Kluyveromyces lactis: one gene and its partners. The protein of the gene in region 2 interacts with the protein of the main gene of each other region in a biochemical or structural test. Links are inferred from orthologs where the notes say so. Each region holds a gene or a part of one and is shown on either strand. Other genes may lie near its edges. The genes, in order: IME2, RFA2 and RFA3.

The links.
Region 1: of the proteins of RFA2 (region 2) and IME2, one has a biochemical effect on the other in vitro, tested with the Saccharomyces cerevisiae proteins (2 studies listed by BioGRID). The link is inferred for Kluyveromyces lactis from reciprocal best matches to the Saccharomyces cerevisiae genes RFA2 and IME2.
Region 3: the proteins of RFA2 (region 2) and RFA3 form a complex in vitro, tested with the Saccharomyces cerevisiae proteins (3 studies listed by BioGRID). The link is inferred for Kluyveromyces lactis from reciprocal best matches to the Saccharomyces cerevisiae genes RFA2 and RFA3.

What each region holds. Positions count from the first base shown.
Region 1 is NC_006042.1:262,825-267,159, reverse strand, and holds IME2 (protein kinase IME2), read right to left. Parts: upstream 2,832-4,335; coding exon 564-2,831; downstream 1-563. Other genes in the region: KLLA0_F02860g (NAD(P)/FAD-dependent oxidoreductase), read right to left, coding at 1-60. UniProt on the Saccharomyces cerevisiae protein: Protein kinase which is essential for the initiation of meiosis and sporulation.
Region 2 is NC_006041.1:667,265-670,006, forward strand, and holds RFA2 (Rfa2p), read right to left. Parts: upstream 1,327-2,742; coding exon 643-1,326; downstream 1-642. Other genes in the region: GAS4 (1,3-beta-glucanosyltransferase), read right to left, coding at 1-277; KRI1 (Kri1p), read right to left, coding at 1,937-2,742. UniProt on the Saccharomyces cerevisiae protein: Binds to single-stranded sequences participating in DNA replication in addition to those mediating transcriptional repression (URS1) and activation (CAR1). Stimulates the activity of a cognate strand exchange protein (SEP1).
Region 3 is NC_006037.1:587,522-589,959, forward strand, and holds RFA3 (Rfa3p), read right to left. Parts: upstream 854-2,438; coding exon 503-853; downstream 1-502. Other genes in the region: KRE9 (Kre9p), read left to right, coding at 1-257; CPS1 (Gly-Xaa carboxypeptidase), read left to right, coding at 1,692-2,438. UniProt on the Saccharomyces cerevisiae protein: As part of the replication protein A (RPA/RP-A), a single-stranded DNA-binding heterotrimeric complex, may play an essential role in DNA replication, recombination and repair.

The DNA of each region.
Region 1 (4,335 bases), on a different chromosome or scaffold from region 2:
CACAGCAGTACTTAATCCAAATATACCCGCGCCAACAATGACAACATCATAATTGGACATTTCCGGTTCGCTGCCTGTCTAATGTGAGGAAAGCTGTATAGTTGAATATATTATCTATGTTCTTTCTTAACCGAAGTTCTTCTTTATAAAGACTTTGAAGTACAATGTAAAGTTGATGGCTCGAAAGATTTTGAATCATCGGACCTCGGAGCTGATAGGAACAGTTTACCAAGAAAAAAAAAAAAAACTTGAGATAGTAAACAAAGACAGTAAGGATAATAGTGTACATAAGAGGTAAATCAAGTAGAAGTACCATGTTATAGAGTGAAAGAGTTGTCGGCATTTCTGTCCTGTATCCAACAAGTTATAAAGGAAATAATAGAAGCAAGTTATGTTAAAACTTATGAGCTAGCAGGTACAAAAGGTGAATATGTGTGTGTGTGTGTGTGGATATTATAAACGGTATAAATGAATGGGAAGAGGACCAGGTAAAGCGTTGTTGAAAGAAATTTCAACGAGTAGAACTGAAAGAGAGGAACAGCCTGCTGTTCTTTGTTCTACGATCAGAAACTTAATCCATCTTGGAATGTATGATTGTGGGAGTTAGAGGTTTGAATCAGGTTTTGAGATGCATGTTCCGATGGATCTAAAAGACAATCTAAAACTCTTTGCTGTACTGCCCTCTCCAGCAGATTTCTTGGGATCTGTTCTTGTAGATCAAGTGAATCGTCTATTGCCATTTGATCTGATAGTGTAGGACCCGCTGGTCCATTCGAATGCATGTAATTACCTTTGTTTTTGTTAAGTGGTAATTTCTTAGCCATCATATCCTGATAATAGTTTAGAAGACTATCTGCATCATCTTCGTCTTCTCCTTGATTGGAGATCTTCATCTTATCAACGGCAACTTCATTGTTTTCATCTTTGTCGGTCGCTCTAATTTCATGTTCCAAGTTCTCATCAGTATCAAATTCGTCCAACACCTGAATCCTATAATTCTCATGGTCCATGTCAATCGAATCATGTTCATCGTCATCGTCATCAACATCCAGAGTTGGTGGGTTCATCTGATTTGTGGTGTCTTGATAAAGCTCTATTTTGTCATTTAATTCCTTAGAAATTTGATCAGATCCTGTCATAGTCTCCATGCTATCATCCAGCTCAATAGTGAATACCTCATTATCATTGTTGGCATGTCCTATGAGATTTATATCAGGAATACTGTTACCATTAGCGTTTGTAGAGCTATCTAGCCTCTCGTTGTGAGCATTTACCTGTTGTTCCTGCTGTTTTTTTTCTACAATTCCTTGATTCTTCTGGCTATTTGTATTCGTGTTAACACTAGTAAGGATTTTCTCATCATTGTTTGTATTTGGATTGATGTTAACGTGGTTTTTCTGCGTGGAAAATTTGAACCATGAGGCAACTCCTCCTCTTCGCGGTTGCTGTTGGCTTTTATCTGTTACACAATTCATTTGATTGTTCTTTTGAACCTTTGGTAACTTCTGTGGAGAGTTAAAACTAGGAACAATGCCCAATTCCGGGTTATGTGGTAGTCCAGAAAGAATACGACTCCATTGGTTTGATATTGATGGATTTGCTGCAAGTTTATTTGCCAAAGCTGTATTATCCTTATTTTTGGATGCGGTTCCGTTATTTGTCTTTGCCAAAGATGCTTCTCTCATCACGTATTCCTTGAAGTATGGCAATGCACATATTTCGTTTGCAGTAGCCCTTTCACTTGGATTCCACTTTAGGCAAGATGTAACCACATCATATAGATCTTCCAATTGTGGGTTTGGTAGAACATCCCTTATCGTTTTCCCTTCTACGTATGGGAATTCATAGTTCAAAGCTTGGTATAATGGTTTTGAATCCAGCCATGAACCCCCAAAGTGCTCCTTTCCATTGATAGAATGATCTGGGGAGCCCAATAAATCTAGAATCCTCCATATTTGATCGGTTTCGTCAGAACCGGGAAATAGTGGTGAAAAGGTGGCTAGTTCGACAACAACACAACCATACGCCCAAATATCCAACGGTTTGGAATAGTATCCTTTTCTAAGAAGAATTTCTGGTGACCTATACCAACGGGTCGACACATAGGTGGTATAAGGTGATCTGTTATTCACATGTCTTGCCAAACCGTAATCAGCCAATTTCACCACGTAATTATCCGAATAATTATCATCTTCCAACCATTTCTTGCTGAAGTACCTATGAGATGGCGATATCAAGATATTCTCCGGTTTGATATCTCTATGGAAAAAATCGTGATCATGAATATGTTTAATTCCTGCTAATATTTGGAATAATATCGACCTCAAAGTAGGTAGGGAAAACACTCTTCTTTTCCTATGTTTCATCAATTGATAAATGTTCTGCTCCATGCATTCCATTACAATGTGAAGGTGATACAAAGAATCATCAATGAACATCTCGTATATGGTAACCAAATTTTTGTGTGCAGGAATTTGCAATATGAATTTGATCTCTCTGACTCTTGTATAGTCATGCAATGTTGGTAATCTATTCATCATTGTTTTGATTGCCACTATACCCTTTTTCTTATAGTACCAGTTTTCTTGTTCGACGTTTCTGATAAGAGTTTGATCCATCAAAGTTTCTGGGTACATTGAGGAAATTTGGGTGGCTGAACTGTTCATATCGTACATTGTCTCGGCCAATGTCACAGATCCGAAGGATCCTTTCCCCAATTCCTGAATTACGTTATATCTAGCATCGATATTCTTGAGCGGAATATAGAATGGAGGGTTATTAACATCTGGGGGTATGAAGGAATCTGCTGTGGTCAAAGTTAAAGCTGGCATTTTGTTCTTCTTTGCTTTATTGAAGTAGTTGATTGACAAATATTCTAGTGAATTTTATTTTAAAATGTAACGATTAATCTTGTGTTTTAAGATTCAATTACGCGGTAATAAATTAGAAGCACTTTTTTTTTGGTTGATTTTATAACTAATCTTATGCTTTTTTTGTGTCGGCTTTTATTACAGGATTCCTAAAACTGACACCTATTGGAGTGTTTCGTTTTGTGTCTTCTGAGTGCCGTTTTTGCCTTTTTGTACCGCTCTCTTTATTCTAACTTTTTTAGAAAAAAAAAATTTATCGAATGTCTGAAATCTCTGAAATCTGACACCTTAGATAATGCTGTATAGGATAGAATCGAGAAAAATAGAAAAACAGAAAAACAATAATCCTGATATATTAACACTCTCTTAATATGCAGTTTCAAAATGAAACTCAAACAACGATAATACCTTTGATCTCAAAAAGTGAAAAGGCGATGCTGTGTCTAGTTGTTATATACTAAAACACTTTTTCAATGTAAAACTTCAAAACAGAACAACAGGAGCTTCAGTTAGCCACTATCGATCCTAGTAAAAGTAAGTGTGAAATTTGTTCCTTCTGCTGCAAATATGCATGTGGTTTCCTTCGTTCACAATTGATACATAACTTAAAAAGATACACATAACTGACAGCAATACGGTAATTAGAAGATGAGAACACAAAAAGATTCAAAATTAAAGGAGATCCTTTGAATAACGCATCCTTTATATATTCCACAAAAGAATTCCAACATGTCGGCGCCTAATTCTGGTGCAAAGGATGTATTCTTCTTTTCAGCAATAAAAAAAAAAATCCAGATCTACAAGCTGATAAGTGTTCCTGTACAAGGCGATAAATCCATGTATAGCGGTATAGGGGAGGGGTGAGTCTACGATAAGGGAAACTCAATATACAAACCATTAAAAATCTAATTTATTAATTGATTCTCCATATACTTTAAAATGATCGGATTGTACCCCTCCAAATATTACCGGGCACGAACAACTTCTAGAGAGTTAGATTAAGGGGAAGAAAGGTTCGGCAAGATTGGCTACGGGAATTAAACGGGACAGGATGGGAGCGGAAGATATGTACATACTAACCTATGTATTAATAGATCAATCGAATAATTTGGATATAAAGGGGTTAAGTACAGGCACATTTACCGAAAATGCAGCATTTGCCGAATTCTGCAGTGTAAGCGCCGAAAAGATTGGGGCCCACTAGAGATTCTGCTAAGAAGTACCGACAAAAATTTAAGTATACTAGTAATTTATATATGACCCAATATGGCGCACCTATTGCACGTCATGATGTGAGTGGTAAACATTGCGATCGCTTCTGACCATAGTTCTCCCTTCCCCACAGTTTGGCTACAACAACTGAAAGGAAAATTTTTCAAGAAAATATGGCGGCTAAACTTACCGATATAGATAATACCGAATTTCCTTTAATAGCTTCAGTAGAAACGCCCTGCCCCCCTTATGG
Region 2 (2,742 bases):
CATGGTTTAGATCTGGATTTAACGAATAAACACGCACTGCATTGATTCCCAAATCCTGAAACAAAGGTATATCTCTTGCACAAACGGAAACATCTGATAAGGGATCCTTTTCATCTGTAACGTCACTAGATCCACCTGGTTGATAGTCAATACCTCTTATAAAGAATGGTTCATCTGTGACAGAATCATAAAAGTGTTTTCCTCGAATTTCTATGGGGTGTATATCAGCTAAAACAGAGGAGACAAAGAAAAGTACACCTATTATCAATCTATGCATTTTCTTGAATGTGTATGTTTATTTCTAAATTCTGTGTTGATTGTTGCAGGGATATCAGGCTTCACTGAGATTTCTGCATCTTGTATGATTGCAGATATGAATTTTTGTGTTTATATTTCTTATATTATAATCTGTCACTGACGCAGCCAATTACCAACATATATATGAAAAAATAGTAAATAAAATAACACATAGAATAACCGCGTCATCTTAATATAGCTAAGGTGACACAACGTAGTTCAGTACAGATGCCAATGATATATTTGGGATCATAACTGCTGATTCGTCGCCCAAAATGAAAGTACTTTTTTAAAATGATAATTATGATGTTGAAATCGAACTTATACACAAAAATATGTAAAAAATTATAAGATAAAGAAGGTGAACTCGTCGAAGGTAGGGTATATGTAACCTTGTTCTGTTAGAGTTTGACAATACATTCTGACATCATCTTCAATCATGTTCAAAGATTGAGAGATAAGTTTAGTCTGCACAGAGAAAGAGTTTGAATCCTTGCCAGCGCACTGGGCTCTGATAAAATCCAAAACTTTTTCAGTGGCTGATTTTGGAGGCTCGTTATCTTGTACAAATAAACTATTGGTTTCAGTATTAGCTCCGTTAACTGCCACCGTTGAGTCAACACTCAAGTTACCGTTAGCCACAGCAAATGCCTTAATTACCTCCAGGTGATGTGCTAGAATTTCATTGAATGAATCAATATGCTTTACTACAGCGTATTGTACATTCATCTTACCACTGAATTCTCTTAGAGAAGCGTATACCTTGATGTATTTCCCTACCGAGTAGTCTTGTGCTACTTGCGAGTTATAATCACCATTTTGGTCCTCTTGAGAGGCGTGCGACATATCATTGCTATCATTAGTCCATTTTCGGAATTCGATTTGCCCAGTCCCATCTTCAACTGTAAGAGTAACATTCGATGTATTATCAGCAACGTTTCTAATGACACCAACAAATGACACATGGTGAAGTTCTTGACCCATTATAACGTATGGTCCATCTTGAATTTGTTGCTTTGCGGATTGCATCTGTTTAATTGTCACAGGAGTCAAAGTGTTGGCATTTTGTCCACCGGAATTTGGTCTGGAAGATTGGCTTGGATCTGAGTTATCAAATCCACCAGCATTAATATTAGAATATTCATTATATGGATGATAAGCTGGATAAAGGAGGAGTGGTGATTAGTTTTATTGAAAGTGTTAGTAATGGGAACAAGACTGAACCTAAATAAATAGTTTCGGAAAAACATCGTAACGTACTGGTCATTGTGTCAGTTTTCTTTAGCTTCTGTTTATTGACTCCTTCTGCCGAAGATAACCCAGTTCTTGGTTATCCTCCATTGAATATCAGTTTTGCCATTCACAAAGCTCATATCCTCTCTTCAGAAGATTATGAATAAGTTACGCGTTTTCCCTTTCAAAGATTTGGTTCGTGTTTGGCAGGGTAATATAAATAAAGAATTAGTATGGCAGAAATCTTAGCACAGTATACAAGGACAAAGAATAATGCAAATATGTGGCAAGAAAGGATACTGTAACCAAGTTTAATTTCCTCTCGGCAGCAACATTAGGATGGAATTTGATGATTACAATAATATTTATATGTAAGTTAACTAAATAATGCTGAATAAGTTAATCTTTAATCTCTTCTCTTTCTCTTCTTATTCTTCAATCTTTCCTTTTCTTTAGAGGTTTGATGAGCTTCACCGTCGTTCAGAGGAATTGCTAATTCATCACCGGTGAGGCCTTCTTCGGTATTGAAAACTTTCTTTCTCCATTCCCTTAGTCGCCTGCTCTTAGTAACCTTTCTTCTATCCTTTGACGTCAGTTCTTTTGGTCTATATGGTGCAAACTTCTTCAAGCCGATAAACTCATTTAGATCGGCGTCATCAGCTGTGAATATTTCTCGCGTAGTCAATCCGAATGATTCTGGAGACACTTCACGGTATCTAAACTTAACTTCAGAATTTTTCTCTGTCGAACGTCCTCTTTCTTCTTCCACCTGCTCTATGATGTCTACCTTACGTTCGTCGACTGCTTTTTCTACCATCTCATGTAACTGCTTCTTATCTTTTTTTTTGTCTCTCTTCTCTTGTATCTTGTCCTTCTTTGATTTCTTCTTTTTTGGCTCTCCAGAGTCTGATGCCAAGGTCTCATCGTCTTCCGCATGATCCTCGGTTTCCTGTTCAGCATAAAACTCTCCCATGATATCGTCATTCTCATCCCATGTTGGTTTATCTTCCTGGTTGTAGAATTCGTCGTTAAAGATGGTACCGATGACTTCATCCCATTTCCCATCTTCGAAGTTTCCGTTTATTAAGGTATCGGTTAAGGCTTTGACATGCTCTTCTTTGATATCAGCACCATATTCTTTCTTTACTTGCTCTAAAACATCAGTAAGTTGGTTAACCTTTTCCTTCTTTTTCTTTTGGACTGCCTTTTGCT
Region 3 (2,438 bases), on a different chromosome or scaffold from region 2:
TGCAGACCCAACCAGGAACTGCAATTACAGTAACAACATGGTCCAGAAGGTACGCAACGAGTGCAGTCACCTACTATACCAGTCTTCGGAACTCACTGGAACAAATGACCACTTACACCCCGGGTTGGTCCTACTCAAGAACTTCTGACTACAACTATGCAACTCCTGCGCCATTCCCCTCTGATAACGGTGGTTGGTATGACCCAACTGATAGACAAACATTAACCACCAGAAAACTGAACAACAAGAGAAGGTAAAAAGGTGATGATCCAATTATGATACAATCGTGCATGCATGCCCCTAGGGCTACTCTAATAACAATTTATTTTTTTTTGGTTGGCTTTCTGTTTAAGGATTACAAGAGATATTTTGGGTTTCCGTAATACTGCCTTCATATAAATATACTTATACAAATCAAAAAAAAAACACACACACTCATATATTTATAATTCTTTCCAGTTTTGTCCTCTCACCATCCTCCCCTCTTTTCAAACGTAAAAACTTAGTACAAATCTGGGAACTTGCCACTCAATTGTTGTAATGCAACTATACCAGAAACACTGATCTCTTCACCTTCTTTCAGCTCACATTTCACAGAATCAAGCACCATCAACCCAATATCACCGGTATCGACATTTCTGCAAACAAATTCGTACCAGGATCCAACCTCAATGTTACTTCCTTGTGACAGTTTCACTTGTGATAGCGTTATCATTTCTCCATTGGTTGTTGGAGATTGTAGGATTAACTCTTTTGGTTGTGGTTGATCTAACACCTTGGCTATGATACGAAACACTGAGTGCTGAGTATTGCTTATTTGGCTCGGGTCAATTCTTGGCGTTTGGTTGGACATCACTAGCGGTTGTTGGTTGCTGGTTGCTGCTGTTAAAGATGAGTCTGCTGTAATGACAAGTTCACGCGTTTTAACAAGATGCATTTAATATACAGAAATATAAATAAATTGATAACACAGGTTTTCGTGTGCAACTTTGTGACCGGGTAACATACAATTGGAAATTTTTCTTTTGATTTCATGACAACGGTCACGTGAACGCTATTTTTTCTTTCTTGTCATTCCACCAATTCCCAATAGAAGATCCATGCGGCCAGAGGAATGTAATGTGCATTATGTAATGAACAGATTCCTCCATGAAAAATCCAGGTCAATTGTATCAGTCTTAAAGTATGCTGACTCGACCTCGTCTTGTTCTAAACAGGCTGGAATTTGCCCATTTTTTTCGATATCCTCTCTGCCTTTTTTTTTTTTTTGCCCAAGCTTAGAAGTTGTCAGCTGCATGCTTCATGCTGGCTGCATAAAATATCAGCAAGATTATTCTCGGTCTTCGGTGCCTCTAAACGTACATACGGAAACAGAGTACAACAGAGGTACGGTATACCTGGATGTGTTCTTATAATGCACATATATATAGGTAAGTAGGTAAGTAATATGGTTTGTCAATCCACGGGCTTGTCCCACTTTTGGCTCTGGCATTTTGCTGCATCTTGGAACGCATTTATTTTCAATTGTTCTTTAGTCTCGAGAAGTCCCTTTTTTTTTGATAATTAAAATTTTAAAGATAATCAGCTCATCTTTAAGGCACACAGGTGGATAACAAGTGGATACCCTTGCTTTAGAATCGTATTAAACTCTATTGTAGGGTTCGTGTATTATCAAGGGCTCTAAAAGAAATATGGCAGACGAGAAACGTGATAAGCAGCCGGTGAAAGGCTCCAGTTCGAAGACTTTGGTTCTTCTATTGGCTTCGCTCTTTTTAGCGGGTTTTGGGTATTTGCTCCATAACCAGAATTACGACATCGAACAAGTCAAATCGTTGGTTGACCAGCATTTCAGTAATACGTTTGGAACTTCCATTGGAAAATTGGTAGTTGAAGAAGAAAATGATGATGATGAGATTGATTTTGACTCTGTATGCTTGAAGACAGAGCCAATTAGCCCATCCGGTGAGAGCTCCATAGAGAAGATTTTGAACGATGCTGAGTATAAGAAATTAGCTATTGAAAAGCTATCCGGTGCCTTGCAAATTCCTACTGAGATTCAAGACGTCAACCCTAGACCAAAGGATAATATTGAATATTATTCGGAGTTCTTTAAATTTCACAAATATTTGGAAGAACAGTATCCATTGGTTCATAAACATTTAAAGAAGGAATTGGTTAACGAGGTTGGATTGGTTTATACCTGGGCTGGTTCCAACGCGGATTTGAAACCTGTTATGTTCACTGCACACCAAGATGTTGTGCCAGTGAACCGTGACACTTGGGGTGCTTGGAAGTTCCCTCCGTTCAGTGGACATTACGATGAGAAGACTGATACCATTTGGGGTAGAGGTGCAATTGATTGTAAGAATCTCTTGCTAGGTGAATTGGCTGCCATTGAACATTTATTATCCGAGGGTTTCGTACCGGAAAGAGGTGTT